Drosophila melanogaster: one gene and its partner. The protein of the gene in region 1 interacts with the protein of each later gene in a pairwise test. Each region holds a gene or a part of one and is shown in the gene's direction. Other genes may lie near its edges.

The links. Proteins that work in one complex are often made in the same cells at the same time.
Region 2: the proteins of Mical (region 1) and PlexA interact in a two-hybrid assay, tested with the Drosophila melanogaster proteins (3 studies listed by BioGRID).

What each region holds. Positions count from the first base shown.
Region 1 is NT_033777.3:10,036,701-10,044,731, reverse strand, and holds the start of Mical (molecule interacting with CasL), read left to right. Parts: upstream 1-1,836; 5' UTR 1,837-1,940; intron 1,941-2,733; exon of another isoform or gene 2,734-2,760; intron 2,761-6,841; 5' UTR 6,842-6,916; intron 6,917-8,031. Other genes in the region: CG11722 (uncharacterized protein), read left to right, coding at 1-105; CG3909 (uncharacterized protein), read right to left, coding at 155-428, 483-670, 728-966, 1,038-1,329, 1,383-1,385. UniProt on the Drosophila melanogaster protein: Monooxygenase that promotes depolymerization of F-actin by mediating oxidation of specific methionine residues on actin.
Region 2 is NC_004353.4:1,022,732-1,030,913, reverse strand, and holds the start of PlexA (plexin A), read left to right. Parts: upstream 1-3,812; 5' UTR 3,813-3,951; exon of another isoform or gene 3,952-4,144; intron 4,145-4,378; exon of another isoform or gene 4,379-4,698; intron 4,699-7,233; 5' UTR 7,234-7,442; coding exon 7,443-8,182. Other genes in the region: CG11076 (uncharacterized protein), read left to right, coding at 104-943; mitochondrial inner membrane protein MPV17, read left to right, coding at 1,665-2,171.

The sequences.
Region 1 (8,031 bases):
ACTTTTAATATGTACATACCCGACCAGAAGTACAAAGACACGATGCTAACTCAAGCCACGCAGCCCCTTCTGCGGGTTAAATCGAGCTCGGAGGGTAATCCGTAAATAAATCATTCTTGTTCTTTGTTTTAAACCTACGCTCTATTGTATGAAATCAAACAATGGCATTGGGCGGACAGTAGTATATGTTCAGGGACTTGTCCTCAGAAGCAGAGGCCACCTTGTCGTTTCCGGGGCTATATCGGACGCCCCACACCTGATCTGTGTGCTCGGCGAACGTGTGCAGGCACTTGCGTTCCGAGGTGTCCCATATTTTCACGCTGTTATCACTGGAGGAGCTGGCAAAGTGTTTGCCGTCCTCGGAGAATGCCACGCACAGCACCCAAGATGCGTGCCCAGATAGGGTGCCCACAACGTCGGAGTGGGTTCTAAAACGAGGAGATAGTAGTGCCTGAAAATGTCATAGGTGTTAAGCCACTTACACATCATAAAGCTTCATGTGACCATCATCTGAGGCAGTGAGCAGCAGCTGCGAGTTCGGAGAAAAGCAAAGGCTACGCACTGGCATCGCGTGTCCTTCCAATGTTTGCACTACCTTGCCCGCGGCCACATCGAAAATGGTAATGATACCATCGATGGCTCCACTGGCAATGTACTTGCCATCGGGACTCTAGAATAATACAGCTATAGGATTCTCAAAATGGGTTATTTACCAGATAAAGCTTACGTAGGCAATGCTAAGCGTGTATTTCCCATTTTGGGCATCCAATGTCTGCTCTGCCTTTCCGGTTTCCACACTGTACATGGAGATTTTGCCGTCGTTCAGTCCGGATATCACATATTTGTTGCAGGGTGAAAATTGCACCGTCCAGAGATCAACAGGCCCAAAGCTAAGTAGGTGTTTCTTGTCGCCCGAACGGGCATCCCACAAACACATGGTGGAGTCCAGAGAACTACTGGCAATGGCTGGAAGGAAGGCGGCACCATTAATTGATGTCCATTTCTCTATCTCCCAAGTACAGAATCTTTCAACCTACTCTGTCCATCGGAACTGACGGCCACAGAAACAACTCCCAGGGCATGTCCTTTTAGTTTGTGGCGCAACTTTAGGGTGTTGTCCTCCTGCAAGTCCCACACCTTTACCAAGTCATCCAGTCCGCCGGTGACCAAGAAATCCTTCGGGCGGGCCTCCTTCTTATCGAAATCAAAGGGATTCTCCTCGGGCTCCACGACCGCGTCATCCGGATCTGAGGCCGCAGTGTCGCGTCCCCAGGTGCACGCCCATAGCTGACTGTCGTGCGCATTTTCCTCTTTATGAAGGACAGAAAACTAGCGGAAAAAAGGGATGTATAAAAGGCACAGTTCGTTAAATATCTACTTACCATTTTAAAATGCCGGAAAAGTGTTTATTTTATGCGAACGAGAGCGATCAGCAAATTAGCTGTTATCGATAACAATGGTTGACGTTAGAATTAGTATTGAAAAGGGAGGTTTACAGTGGGTCAAAACTGTTATGCTGAATATGTTTCAATGTGAATAAATTAAACATGGAATTCTTTATATAAATGAAAGAAATAAAGAAGTATAAAACAAATTGACGTTTTTAAAATTTTTTCACAGGTAATATTATATATAACAAAATAATATTTTACTTTATTATATCTTTATTATACTTATTTAGGTAAAAAGCTTAGTTTTTAAGTAAACATGTTATATATTAAATTATTTGAATTGCTATTTATTGTTTTGGTATATTTGCCCATATGGCACACGGCATAATACCACTTTCCCGCCATGGTCACACCATCGGCTTATAGTTGCACTCCCGGCGCGGCCACACTGTTTATAGCCGTCGAGAACCGAGGAACGAACGTCGCGTTTTAAAAAACAAATCCCCAAACGACTCGGACGCGAGATCCAAGCGACTGGCGAGGAAAAGTGTAAGTGACGGGTGCAATTACGTGCCCCACGGTGCAGCCATGCCCGGATCTACCAGTGCGGTTATATAATGCGGATATAGTTATAGTTCTTAGCCCCTCGCGATACGATATCAAAAACAAAGGAACGAATAGGACCAACGCGTGTGTTCTGCTTTTCAGTTTTCGGTTCGTTTTCGATTTTTTTTCATTTTGCTGTCGTCGCCGCCGTGAATTCGAATATGTATGATTTTCTTCTATGGATCCGCGTGTCTGGAATATATTAATAAACATAAACAGTGAAGCCTCGTTCGTTCGTGTGTGTGGGGGCGGGTGTGCGTGAGCGTGAGTGCGAGTGTGTGTGTGGTTGTGCATCAGCATATTATTTATCTCACATATCATATCTTTCGACAAAATCGAAAAGATTCGAATGATTCATTCTTGTGGCAGCAGGACTCGCCGATTTGTGCACTAAACCGAAATGAAAGGCATATAGTTTTGCTGCACTTTCCATGTGTTTTTCGTGGTGTGTTTGTTTTATTGATTCCCACTTTCCCGTTCCCCGTTCTCCGTTTTCCGCCCAGTTTCCACTTCTTCCCCTCCGTACAACATTCATATTCGCGCCTGCCCCCACAACTTCGTTTCCGATTTGGTGTAAACAATAACGGCAACCGGTTTTCGCGTGCAACTTTATCTCCCTAATATCGCCATTCCTCTTATTCTTCTTCTCTTCCTCTGCTCACTTTTGTTTCGATTATAATCGCAATTTGCCGTTTTCAAAATGATATATGCAAACCCTTTCGAATAAATCAAACAGTTCCAACTGAATTTGTAAATTATCAAGGTGAGTCGCCAGCCGGGGATCAATAATGCTATATTATAAGATGAAGTGGAAGATTTGCATGTTTATGTAATCTTATCGGTATTTTATGTTAATTTTCTCACACATGTTGGGATTCATATATCTTAAGAGAGGTGTATTCATTTCATAAAACATTCTTTACTTGAGATTTGGTATATGAAAGTTAGTTATTCGTTTATTTTAACAATACTACAGGCAAACGATGTCTTCTAGGGTATGAAATGGTCCTATAGAAAGAAAGGTAGTTAGGTAGTAGTAGTGACGCTTAAAGATCCGTAAAGTTAAATGACTCTAAATCCCACAGCTTTGCTCCACTTCCATTCGTAATTCCAAAGCAAACCCATCACGGTTGCTCTTAGCCTTCGCACTAATGTGACTGGAGGATAAGAATAAATGTTTGCCCTTAAGAGGTGCTCAAAAGGCGTCAAAAAAAAAAAAAATAATAATAAGAATGGAAAAACTAGACCATAAACATAAATGCATTTCACAGCTGCCATTAGTGCACAACTTTTCACAATCGGCGAGAAAAACCAGCGCAAAAACCAAGTACGACAAAATGGAAATCCAGGGCATGCAAAAAGAAAATGAAACAGTGGCAAACTGCGGAAAAAGCCAAAGCCCAGGCGCAATGCACTCGGAAAATGGATGGAAAACCAACAAAGTTATTAGTTGAGGTGGGAATACCGCGGTTCCAAGATCGCGGGGAAATGCGAAGTCAAGTGTGGAAAAGCGCTCGCTGGGAAAAGCGTGACATAGTCAAAAGCAATGGGGGCGAAATTGGAGCAATTTGAGTCTGTGCAATGTGACATCATTGTAAGGGGCGTGACGGAGGGCGTGGCAGCAGCCGACAATGACAAGTGCCGAAGTTTTCCAAAAACAAAAGAAAGTCAAACAAGAAAGCAGGGAACATTATTGTCAAGTAAGCGAAAAGATTTGACATATTAGCCATGACATTATTTTAAAGAAATTCAGTAAATTACATGAAATATCTATCAAAGTAGATAATCAAATGATTGTTTTGAGATTATATACAGTGCTTAGTACATGAAGATAAAATAAGAATAAAATGATATATAGTGCTATTTGTAAACCCATTGTACGGGTTGAACTCTATGGAAATTACCAAGAGAGTCGCAATCACGAACATCCTCTGATAAGAATATAGCTGGAATAATCGCCATTCGTTGAACCCCCCAGTCACAAGAGCAATATATAGGAGCATTGACTTTTAAGATCGCGTTCTGATGTCGGTGCAATTTTCTTTACACCAATCAAGGCAGCCCAGAAAATGAAAATGTGATGGCGTCAAGTCATGACATTGCACTGGCAAAAGCACAAGAACAATGGGAAAGTACTCACCATTTGGATTCCAGTGGAAGAGCCAAACTTTTTGCTTGACTGAATAAATATTTCTGGTCCGATCTTTGGCATGGCCAAAAGTGTATTTAAATCCAGAGATAAGATAATAGGTGGAGCATTGCTATTTATAATAATCAACGCTGGGCTCTTTTATCACTTTCGAAGGTTGGAATGTTATTTTAAGCCTCAGCCTCGAGAAAAACACCTAATTTGGGCCCTAATTGGGGCCTCGTTTTTGTTGTTTTTTTTTTTCCCCCTTTTACTAAATATGTGGGATCAGAAAAATATAAATAATATGTATCTGTGTGCTAAATTTATTTAAATATTCTGCAATTAGCCAATCTATCATGAACTTAAAGTAAGGAATAGTTCCAATTAGAAAGTATAGATTACTTTCACATATTTTAACTGCTGTCACTCCTGTAAAACACTCCCATTTTTGTGCCCCCTTAAACCTTTGACTTTTGTTTGTGGAATGCCATAAAGTGCACTCTTTATGACCGCAATGCGTTTGCAACTGCAAGTGGAAGGCAGGGTCTTCGGTTCCTCATTTTGAGAAGCACTTGAAAAGCCATTAAACATTGCTCCAAACCCGACTCGAGTAGAATCCCCGTATCTGCCTTTCTTCCCCCAATTAACCCATAAATGGGAAATTGATATCGTTCAATGTTTTGCGTTGTGACAGTGATAAAATATCAGCCGAATTAGATAAACTTACGGTCAAGGACAAGTATCTTTTACACTCGTACTTCTATGTATTTGAAGTTTTTTCTTCAAGTTGAAAAGCGACAGAGTTAAGTTTTTCATCGCCAATGTGATTTCTTTTTTCTTTTTGGCATATGCCATTTGGGTTTTTGTTGGCCTTTCACATGATAGGCTTTTGTGTGCTATTTATCGCATTTTTATCGCCACTTTAATAACATATGCCATTCGGTCGGGAAAAATGGGTTTGTTGGGGAGTTTTGGGGCGTCAATTAGCTGTCGTCTGGGCCGGGCACTTTCACAATTTATCAAAAATACATCAAATACACACTGTTCGTTTTCAATTTCATGCTTTTTGTTGTCTGAGCTTTTCTTTCGCTCCGTCTCTTTTTTATTTTCATTTTATTTCACTTTAGAGGTGACAGGAGTTTCTTTATTAATTAAAAACGCGACAGACATCGCCGTCATCGCCGTGATGACCATGACCCAAGTGAATGAGCTCCTTTGTTGCGATGGCTGTTGTTTTTCGCTTTGTTATTTGTGCATTTTTCCATTGCAAAAGTTCGCTGATCCGGTGAATAAGATTCTGCTCTTGTCTATAATTCAGTTGAGACAACTAAGCACATACAACATGCTACTTTTGTTACGCCCGCCTTTGTGCCGGTGTGTTTGGGTTTTTAATTTGAGCCTCGATTTTCCAGTTTTACAGCCAGTGAGGCATTAACTTTGCTCATTTAGCCACTCGGTTTATTCACTCAGCCACTCACCCGTTCGCTTAGCTTCAGTCATCTATCCATCTATCGTTTAATCGGCCCTTCTGCCTTCTAGACCAAGTTTAGTTTAGGAGCCGGTTTGCGAGCTCTTAATATGATTAAGTTTTTACGCTTCGACAGCTTCTAGCACGGCTCACCTACCTTCGCTATATGTTTTCATACATATATACATAGGGGTTTGTTAGAAGCACCTACATTTGTTTACAAAACTGCACTTCATTTCCGAACTAGAAGTTTTCAATTTTCAAAGAAACCTAACTGGGAATGGGGCAAGCATTGGGGATTATCCCGAGTAATATAACTCCGTGGGGGTGTTTTATATCCACGAGTTCTTCGAATTTCGTGTCCTAATTCAATGTTATCTTTAGTACTTAATAGCAAGTTGAAACCAGATGCAAGTTAAAGTAATTCATATCTCAAAATACGCTATGGTATAAAGTTGAAGTTTACCATTAGTGCTTTATGTAATCAACTTTTGTGTTTCTATTTTTCTTGGGAAAACTGCAAGTGGTTTATTGACTAAACACCATTCGCGATTTATTGATTTGAATCGCCATGCAAACACCCCATTGCACTGGTTTCCCGTCTCTCAATTGAAATCATCCAAACAAATTGCATTTGCATGCTCGATTCCCCCGGAGTCAAAGCGAAGGCCAATTAATGGCAGTGAACAATACAATTTTCAATGAAAATTCAAAGTGCTGACAGGCGACAATGTTTGATCGCATCTGAAGGTCGTGGAATTGGCCAATGAACATAATATAAACAGATATTTCTAAATGGAGCCTCATGTCAGTGGCACTCTCAGAAATTCGACATTTCGCCCGGATGTGCCACCGTCTAAAATAAAAGCACCAATGTTCTGTGAACTTCTCGTTGTTTACAGATAAATTTGGGTATATTTATTTGTGCACCTTTTAAGTAATATATAGGTGGTAGAGAACCACATGAGTCAGTCTCCTTAATTATTTAAAAGAGTCAGGCATCGAAAGATGACGTATTTTGGCCATTGCCGAGATCTCAAATCAGAAGATCAACTAATATACTTATGCACTTAAAGAAATACTACTTTACACTTAATTTAAGTACACCTTTGCTCTTTAGTTGCTTGTAAGAACATAACTAACATCATTATGTAATGCTGCTCTTATTAAACCCCTTGGAACTAGTTCTTAAACCAATTACTAGTTATTAAATTTAATCAATACTTCTTCTTTTTTTCCTTTCAGTGAACTAAACAAATCATAATATATATATCGCCTTCCCAACACAAATGTTTTCTGCCAGCAAAATTGCTTGTTAAGGTGAGTTGTTTGAAATGTATAATTATATATTAAATTCATATGCGTATTAGTGTAGATTGGCATATGTCAGTGACTAAGAACGAAACAATTAATGGCCGATAATTGCTGTTGGACAAGAGAGACTTGCGTTTGTTCGCCATAACTACGACAGGCGATTTATTTGGAATGGATTAGATAAGACGTATAGAGTCTCTCGGCTAACAATGCAGCTGTACTAAAAGTTATGCAAAAGCAAAGAGTTTCCGTTTCCGCTGGTTAATATATTAATTGATTAATTCAATTATCGTTCTAAACTTTTGTACGTCACTTGTACCTGTATTTTTTGAGTTTTGTCCACCTGCACTGGCCCATCAATCTTGGCCAGCCAGCTCGACTGTCTCATAACCCTGCATCGTGCATTTTTAATTGGCGAACGCTGCTCGTCTTCTTCATATATTGGCCAATGGCCAACTGAAAAGGGCAAAGTTTATTGGGACAATAATAAAATCGAACTGGCAGAATCGGCAATCGGCGAGAATCGAGATGTGAGATTCGAGAAATCGAAACCCGGCAAGAACTATTTTTAATTACCCCACAGCATTGGGCTGTGACAGTTTCAGTTTCAGTTTCAATTTCTAGCTGCAGTTTTTCAATTTAATCTTAAATTAATCGGGGCACCACCCACATCACACCCCCATTTTCACGGCCCAAGGGCATCGGGGTATTGGTGGGGGGAAAAAAGAATTCTTAACAAGAAATGAAAATCTAAACATCGCCGAACAGTTTCGATAAACACGAGCCGAAAAATAATGAAAGGGGAAAACTTTCATCGGTGGAAAATTTGTGTAAAATTTATTCTGCCCACAGACTCTTCTTCTTCTATTTAGTTTTTTACTTTTTGTGGCGGCTGCTAATTTTAGCGTGAAGAAAGCTGATTGCATGGGGCATTTGTATTTCGGCTCTTCAATTGCCATTTCATTTATATTTTTAATTACGCAGAGCGATCTAGAGAGATCTCTCTTTCCACAGCGCCGCTTTTGTGGCTCTTTTATGTGCAATTAATTTAACAATTTGTCAAAAAAAAAAAAGAAAGAAACAACGACTATTTTCATCTGTTTCCATACATTATTTTGTAG
Region 2 (8,182 bases), on another chromosome or scaffold:
TCAAATCATTTTAAGTTATCGATGCATCGATATTTCCCTTGTATTTTTCCACCTGTACCACGTGTGGTCATTTTCTGCAATACATTGATTTCCCCAACGCTCAATGAAAATAAGTAAAAAACTCTTTTCCCGCCAGGAGGAAAAACCTCGGAGCCAATTTCTGGAGGAGGAACAGTACGTGAACCTGACCTCAGGCGCGGCTGCTCGTGAGTGCTGCGGGGATGCTCTTTGGGATTTCGATGGTCAGACCGACGAAGCCTGGCTGGTCCAGTGTCCCAAGGGTGCAGATCCACATCTGCTAGTCGGCAAGCGCATTAGGCTTCCTGGCAGGAAGAGCGTGGGCGATCTCCAGGTTCGTGCCGTCAAAAACTCGACGTTACAGAGCGAGGCACTGGGCTATTTGAGATCTATGGGTCCCTATGCCCTCCGGAAAATTCCCTTTGTCGGCTATGTGGTAATCAGCAAGCGTCTATATGATAAACAACCGCTACCAGGTCAGAAGGAACATACAATTCAAGCTGATCTAACGCTACCCAAGTACCTATTACGAGAACGACATCCGTTGTTCGGGCGCAGCTACAAGCAACGCATCCAATTACCGAAGATGATTTCCACATCTCTTAGTCAAGCAGACGAGAAATTCTTGGAAGCTACTGCCAAGCTTCGCAGCACTGCTAACTACTACAAGATCCGGAGCAAGCTGCACACCACCACACAGACGCTAGAACAAAAAGAGGACGATGTGCGACAGTCGGTGCTTACCGGTCGTACGCCGCAGTTCATGAAGGAAACAATAATCCCGGATCTATATAAAGATCTCTTAGACGAAGAGGACATCGAGAAAAATATAATGAACCCAGCAGAGGAAGTTGGTCCTGCCAAAATGCGCAAGAAAAAATTTAATTCAAACGGTCACAAAACGGGAAATGCAGTAGGGAAATAGACAAAAGAAGCTTAAATTAAATGAAAGCAACGGCCGCTAATGACCTGGACGAAGTAATTGCACAAGAAGGCTTAAAAAAGTCGAATGGAAACCATTAAGAATTAGAGTTTACTTAAGATAAATTCACATACTTACGTAATTAAATAAAAATATGTAACGATTTGGATTATAGATTATCACATATAAGCTGCATAAATTAATGTAGTCATTTAATAACGAAATAAAATTGCACTTTGTCAAGGCGTGTTCACAGCACTATGAACAGCTGACGTTAATATCAGTACCTTAATAGTTGCGGAGAAAGAGCGGTGGTTAAAGTTAAGATTTATATTTAAAAGAATATTAAGAATACGCGTTGCGCATGTTCCGAAAGAGATTTCTGTGCTAAAACAGTTCGATACTTAAAACGTTTAAGTTATTTTACATTACATTACATTAAATTGCATATTGAACGCAATTTAACGTTTTCTCATTCGGCATGTAACAATTAAAAGGACTCACGCGCGTTAAAAAGTTGAATACGCTAGCATAATTTAATTTAAATAATTATTCAGAGTTGCCAATTTTTGTCACTTCAGCAATTGACACCAATCACTTTGCGATTATTAGGCAACCCTTTAAAACTACACGAACAACAGCAAATCGATTTCTCAGTTGTGTTTTAATTGCGTATTTAAAACAATTTGGATCGGGCTATGAATGGAACTGATCTCTGATAAGGATGAAGAGACTTAAAGCGTACCTAAAGGATGGCATCAATGTGGCGGCGGTAATGTGTCTGGGCGATACTATATCCCAGTTCTTTTTTGATAAGAAATCGTTGGACGAATGGGATGCGGGGCGAACCCTCCGTTTCGGCATCGTTGGACTGGTGTTCGTTGGCCCAACTTTGCGCCGGTGGTACCATTTTTTGGAGTCCCGGGTTCCCAAAACCTACTCGCCAATGCGGCGGGGCGTTACCAAAATGCTGGTCGACCAGACCCTTTTTGCGCCACCCTTTACCATGGCCATGTCTTTTTTGGTGCCACTCTCCAACGGAGAGCCCATCGACCGAATCCGGCAGCGCATTCTTGATAGCTACCTATCTATATTGGTCCGCAACTATATGCTCTGGCCGGCCGCACAGATGCTAAACTTCAGATTCGTGCCGCTGGGCTACCAGGTGCTCTACGCCCAGTTCATCGCCCTCGTATGGAACTGCTACCTCTCCATGATACTTAATAGCTAGGGCACTAAGTTCCCCGCATAAGTAATACGGTGCCTGTGTATCAAATTTAACAAATACATTATTATCCTTATCTCGACATGTGACTTCGGACTGGATTTGGTTGTCGTTTTTTTAGGGGTATTCGGCGGAAAGGCTGTACATATAGAATGGAATTTATAGTATACATGTATTATAGGCACTCGAGTTTTAATCCTACAAAGCACTTCAAAAAATTTTGCTTGAAATCTTATTTCCCTCCGTTATTAGTCGGTTGGGCATGTGCTTCTCAAAATATTTACTCGATCATTTAAATTTGAATTGGATAAGCAAGATTGTATCATAACGACGTCACGCCCAATCTAACGCCCACAATTTCTGTGGGCGTTGTGTTGTTATTTTGTTTTCATTTAATTATCTGTCATGATATTGACATACCACAAAAATTTTGCCACACCCAAACTGTTATGCCCACTCTTAAGAATTATTTTTCGATTTTATTTTATAAATTCTCTTGGCTGTTTCTATCGATTTGCCAAACGTATTTTAGCCACGCCCACTGTTCCCACTATCTGAATAACGGGTAAACCTTTTATTTCTGACATTTTAAGGCAGATTGTGGGAGGTAGGGTTAAACAACAAACGTTCTGCAACAATCTTGAAAAATGTGGCGTCACTTGAATCTACATGCTCTGAGCTCTCTAGAGTTCATAGTTCCGAAAATATCAATTCTCCATAAGTTTGTTCCTTTCTACATTTCTATTTTACGATTTAGGGGAATAAACTTTTGAAAAGTGCGTCAACGGTATCTTCTGACAGTTTCCCACAAGTTGTTGATATCCTGTTGTTTAACGTGAGATAGACGATTTATGGATAGAATTTACCTTAGTAGCGCCAAAAATACCGCAAACTGCGCACGCACGAAGCTGAGAATGTAAGCAGCCAATAGTGGAATACACTTCATGTGTACATGTGCAAATAAACACCCTGCAATTCAATTCATTTAACTTTTATCTATATGTCATTTCTTAGAAAAAATCTCTATTGCTAATCAGCCCTCAAAACAGTGAAATTATTGATTATTTTTTTTTCTTACTAACTAACTAAGTCTCTAACTACATGGTCATAACAACAATGCTTTAAATCAGATGTGTAAATATGCACATCTGCAGTCGGTGTCAGTTGAAGATATTTCAATAGGTCATAAAATGTGCACAAAGGCCAACAAAAAAAAGTTGTGCCATGAAATTTTAAATAACAAAATTATGCTTTGATACAGTTTGCGCACATATTTGCTGTGGATTGAGGAGCTGTTAGCATGAAATTCTTAAGTCCAATTTTTCAATTTACATTTTCATTGTGAACAGACCTTTATAGTCTCATCACACTATCGATATTAAAGAAAACGAATATATTAAATATATTTATTTCATTTTTTAATAATGCTCAAGGAAATTAGAGAGATAATAAATATTATCTGGCTTGGGAATCAAACCCCTTCCAAATTACTTTCGTACGAGTCATTACACAGTAACAACAAGACATTTTCCATGTACTCGTGAACATTACATTTTGAAGTGTGCCATCGGTTAATTTAGGTATCGATAGTGATAGGTATGAACGGGTCTTAGGACTAACAACTAGTTGTTTAATTCTCTCCTCTGCCTTATAGTATCGATAACATTTACATACAATGATGTGTAAATTAAAGTGTGGTGTAATTCGAAAATAGACAGAAATTATGTTCAGTGACTTGCGATGTAAAGAAATAATAGTTAATGAGTGAAATATAGGAAAACAAACAGTAAGCCGGATTTCCGATTGTTCACTAGAAAACTATCGCCGTTCCATAATTCAGATATACATACAAAATTGTCATTTTTTGCTAAATATTAAAAAAAGTGTAATAAAATCATTTAACGTTCCAGTGTATATTGCATTGCTTTAGAATTATTAAGAAAATACAAATTTTCTTTAACTGGTATACAACGTTGTATGTATGTAAAAATTAAAAACGGCCATGCAATCATTTTGTTTTATGTACTTAAGTATATATTATATTTATGTAAATAGTATTTTTAAAAAGTGTGGCTCTTATTTAAATACATTGTTAGCTGCGTTTCACACATACGAAATTAAATGCATCATGCATTGGGAAAGATAGCAGCAAAATAAAATTTGCTGTATATGATGTGCATGTGTATGCATATAAATATATACATTTTGTATAGATGTGTGTGCACCAGAATATCCCAAAAATTCCAAATGCAAAAGATCGAGTTTTACTTCTCTCAATAATCTTTGCCTAAAAACATTTAAACTAAGTGCACTTACATTTTACCGGTTTATTATATGTATTTAAATTCGGGCGCTGGCCAAATTTGTATGTATGTATGTGCAGTATGCATATATGCATTTGCAATGAAATTACCAAATATTGTGCACGCTCGCCCAAATTTGAAATCCTGGAATAGCCGTGAATATACTTTAAAACTACATAAATTCTCTATAACGAAATGGCTTGGAATAAGTGGCCTGAGTGCGAATATATGTAAGTGGAAAAAAATTGAACGTTTGGAACTGAATTTGTTCAAAGTTTTACAATTAATGTGTTAGGTAGAGGAAATTTTTTATTGCAAAAACGAGATATGCTTATATAGCATACATAGGAAACTCCTTAGCTTGGGATTTCCATTCCATTAATATTTATAGCATGATATGGATTCATGTTTAATATATATGTACAGTTGCGGTCAACATATTAGCGGCAGTAGCGGAATATATTTTGGTCGGTTATAGTCCTATTCGGAGACAGTAAATGGTAGAGCACGTTGGTTCATGAATTATGCTTTGGGTGAGATTTTCATATTAAGGAGTTGAGCCAGTATATCTGAAGCTCCATCTTCAGTTCCGTCACCGGGTTCTTGCTTTGCCGAACCAAGCGCTTGGATGCTTGGAGAGCATCCAAGTTGGACATTGAAGGCTTTCCTCGCCGCGTTTCGTTCTTTTCGACAAACAGCAGTGATTTGCGGATCATTTTGTTTGAACAACCGACAATGCGACCAATTTCAGCGTAGGTTTTACCTTCAGAGATCACGTTTTTAATCAAATTTCTTTTTTCGACGGTACAATGCTTTCCGTGACCCATGACTAGAGAATTTTTGGTCTTCGTTTGGAGCAAATTCAATTAAAACCTTTAATGCAACACCTTTTTTTCAAAATTTGTCGTAAAAAAAACCAAAGCAATCACTCCCATTAATTTTATTCAGCAAATACGTTTTCAGTGCTATTTTTGTTACCGCCTCATTTCGCGCACTTTTGCAGCAAGTGCCCAAAAACAAAAAGAACCGTTAAATTGAGAGACTAAAAATTTATTGCTCAAAGAGGCAACATATGGTACTTATTATTCATGCAATCTGGCTTAAAAAAAAAAAAATTTATAATTTTTTTTAGGATATCAATTTTCCACCTGCAGTAGTGCTATTATTTTAACCTTAACTGTAGTTTCAAAACTATTTGTACGACATCATTTTAAACTATGCGATAAACTACCCATGTTTCAGGGAAGTACACTTACAGCCAACCCACAGTTTTTGTTTTGACGTGATTAAATTTTTAAACTGAGTTTTTTTGGCTGTGAAGATTTTCAAAATTACGATTTATTGGGTGTTCACGAAATACATTTATAATCTATATGTAACAGCATTTCAATGTTTGGTGATCCACACAAATAGAATTCGAAAGAATACTATAGTCGAGTTCCCCGACTCAGATACCCGTAACTCAGCTAGTGTGAATGCGAACGCGAAATTGCTTTATTTTTCTGGGATATCAATATTAAGGAATAAAATGAGAAAAAATTTAAAATTTGTTTTAAAATGTGAGCGTGGCAGTTTTGCGCGGTTTTAGGGCGTTAGAGTGGGCGTGGCAACATAGGTTAACAAACTTTCGCTCCGTATTTGTCTTTAGAATCTGTATGCTGAATCTCAACCTTTTAGCTGATATATACAGCTGTGTTCATAAAAATAGCAGTGCTTGGGACTTGCGAGTTTAGGATAAAAAATCATATGATTTAAAGTTGTAATGGGAATTTTTTTCATAATTTTATTATTATATCAAACAATTCAACATATGTTTCACTTTTATTTTTTCAATAGATATAGATTAAAACAACATAATAGGCAGAAATTCTGGTGTTCACTGAAATAGCAGTGATATGAAAAAATAGTAACAACATGACTTAGAACTAACATAGTTTTTTTTTAATGTGTTAATTAGGGACTAATACCTGGTTGGATTGCCTTTTTTAGCCAGCACAGCCTTACACCTACTCGGCATGGAGTCCACGAGGACGTTTGGGGGAATTTTTGCCCATGCATCCTGCACAACTTGCCAAAGCTGAATCTTGGACATCGGGGAATTCTTCGACACGTATTGTTTAATGTCCCCCCACAGGTTTTCAATCGGGTTTAAATCGGATGATGGTGCTTGCCACGGCATTGCATCTATTCTATTTTGGGTGAACTTATTCTTAGCCGATTTGCTTCTGCGTTTCGGATCATTATCCTATTGGAATGTCCATTATAAGGGCATATTCCATTCAGCATATGGCAGTAAAACATCACTAGGTATATTTACATACCATTAATCATATGTATGGGACCCACACCGTTGTATGAAAAACAGGCCCATACCATATTTATGTCCACCGTGCTTAACATTCTTGAGTGTGTGGCTTGGGTTGTACTCGGTCTTTGGAGGTCGTTGGACATACTGTCGTGAACCAGTTCCAGTTCATATTTTTGACTCATCAGTCCAAAGGATATTAAGCCATTTGGAGACTGGACAGTTTCTGTAGGTTTTAGCGAAGTTTAACCTTGCGTTCATTCGTACATGGCCAGATCGACTCGGCTATTGATCCTGATCAAGAATATATTTTCTTTATATGGTCGGAAACGCCTACTTCTGCCAGTTAAATAATTATCAACGAATCTAGTATACCCTTTACTCTACGAGTAACGGGTATATATATATATATATATATATATATATATATATATAACTACTTTCCTTATTGTTTTTTCAGGTTTACATGATGGTCATACAAGTTATTGCTCCAAGTTAAATTATCTTGAATGGAACGGATAATAAAAATTGCAAGAATGACACCAACGCAAAGGAAATTTTAATATTTACGTAAAATTTCAAATAAATAAGGGACATACAAGCGCCTACAAGTAACAATTTCATAAATAAGGTAGCTTTGATAGTCCTGTTTAAGGAGCGATTGTGGAGATGAATTTTGTTCTTAGTGTGTTGTTAATAGCAATTCTTAAAGATAAGTATGATTACTGGCTGCCATCGAGGACAGGTTGTCAAACCCTGGCAGCAAATATATGGTCTGACAAGACGACTGCGCAAAATGAGCCGATAAATTTGACTAATGCAAATGCACCGATAAAGAATGCAAAGAATCTGAATTCTACGATTACAAATGTAGCTGCGTTTGACACCAAATTGAATCACCTATTAGTGGACACCATTACTGGACGAGTCTTCGTTGGTGGTGTTAACAGGTTGTATCAGTTGTCGCCTGATTTGGAGCTTTCCGAAACTGTGAAAACGGGGCCTCAAAATGATTCCGTCGAGTGTAGCATTCTTGATTGTCCATTAAATGCAGTTCGCAGTCCGACGGACAATTATAATAAGGTCTTGCTCATTGATCGTGCAACTTCAAGACTTATTGCGTGTGGATCACTATTTCAAGGTACATGCACAGTTCGTAATCTTCAAAATGTCAGCATAATTGAGCATGAAGTTCCTGATGCTGTTGTGGCTAATGATGCCAACTCCTCAACCGTAGCATTTATTGCGCCGGGACCTCCACAACATCCGGTGACTAATGTGATGTACGTCGGAGTTACATACACAAATAATTCACCGTACCGCAGTGAAATTCCCGCAGTTGCATCCCGCTCCCTCGAAAAGACTAAAATGTTTCAGATTGCTTCCTCGGCAGTTACAACTGGAACGAG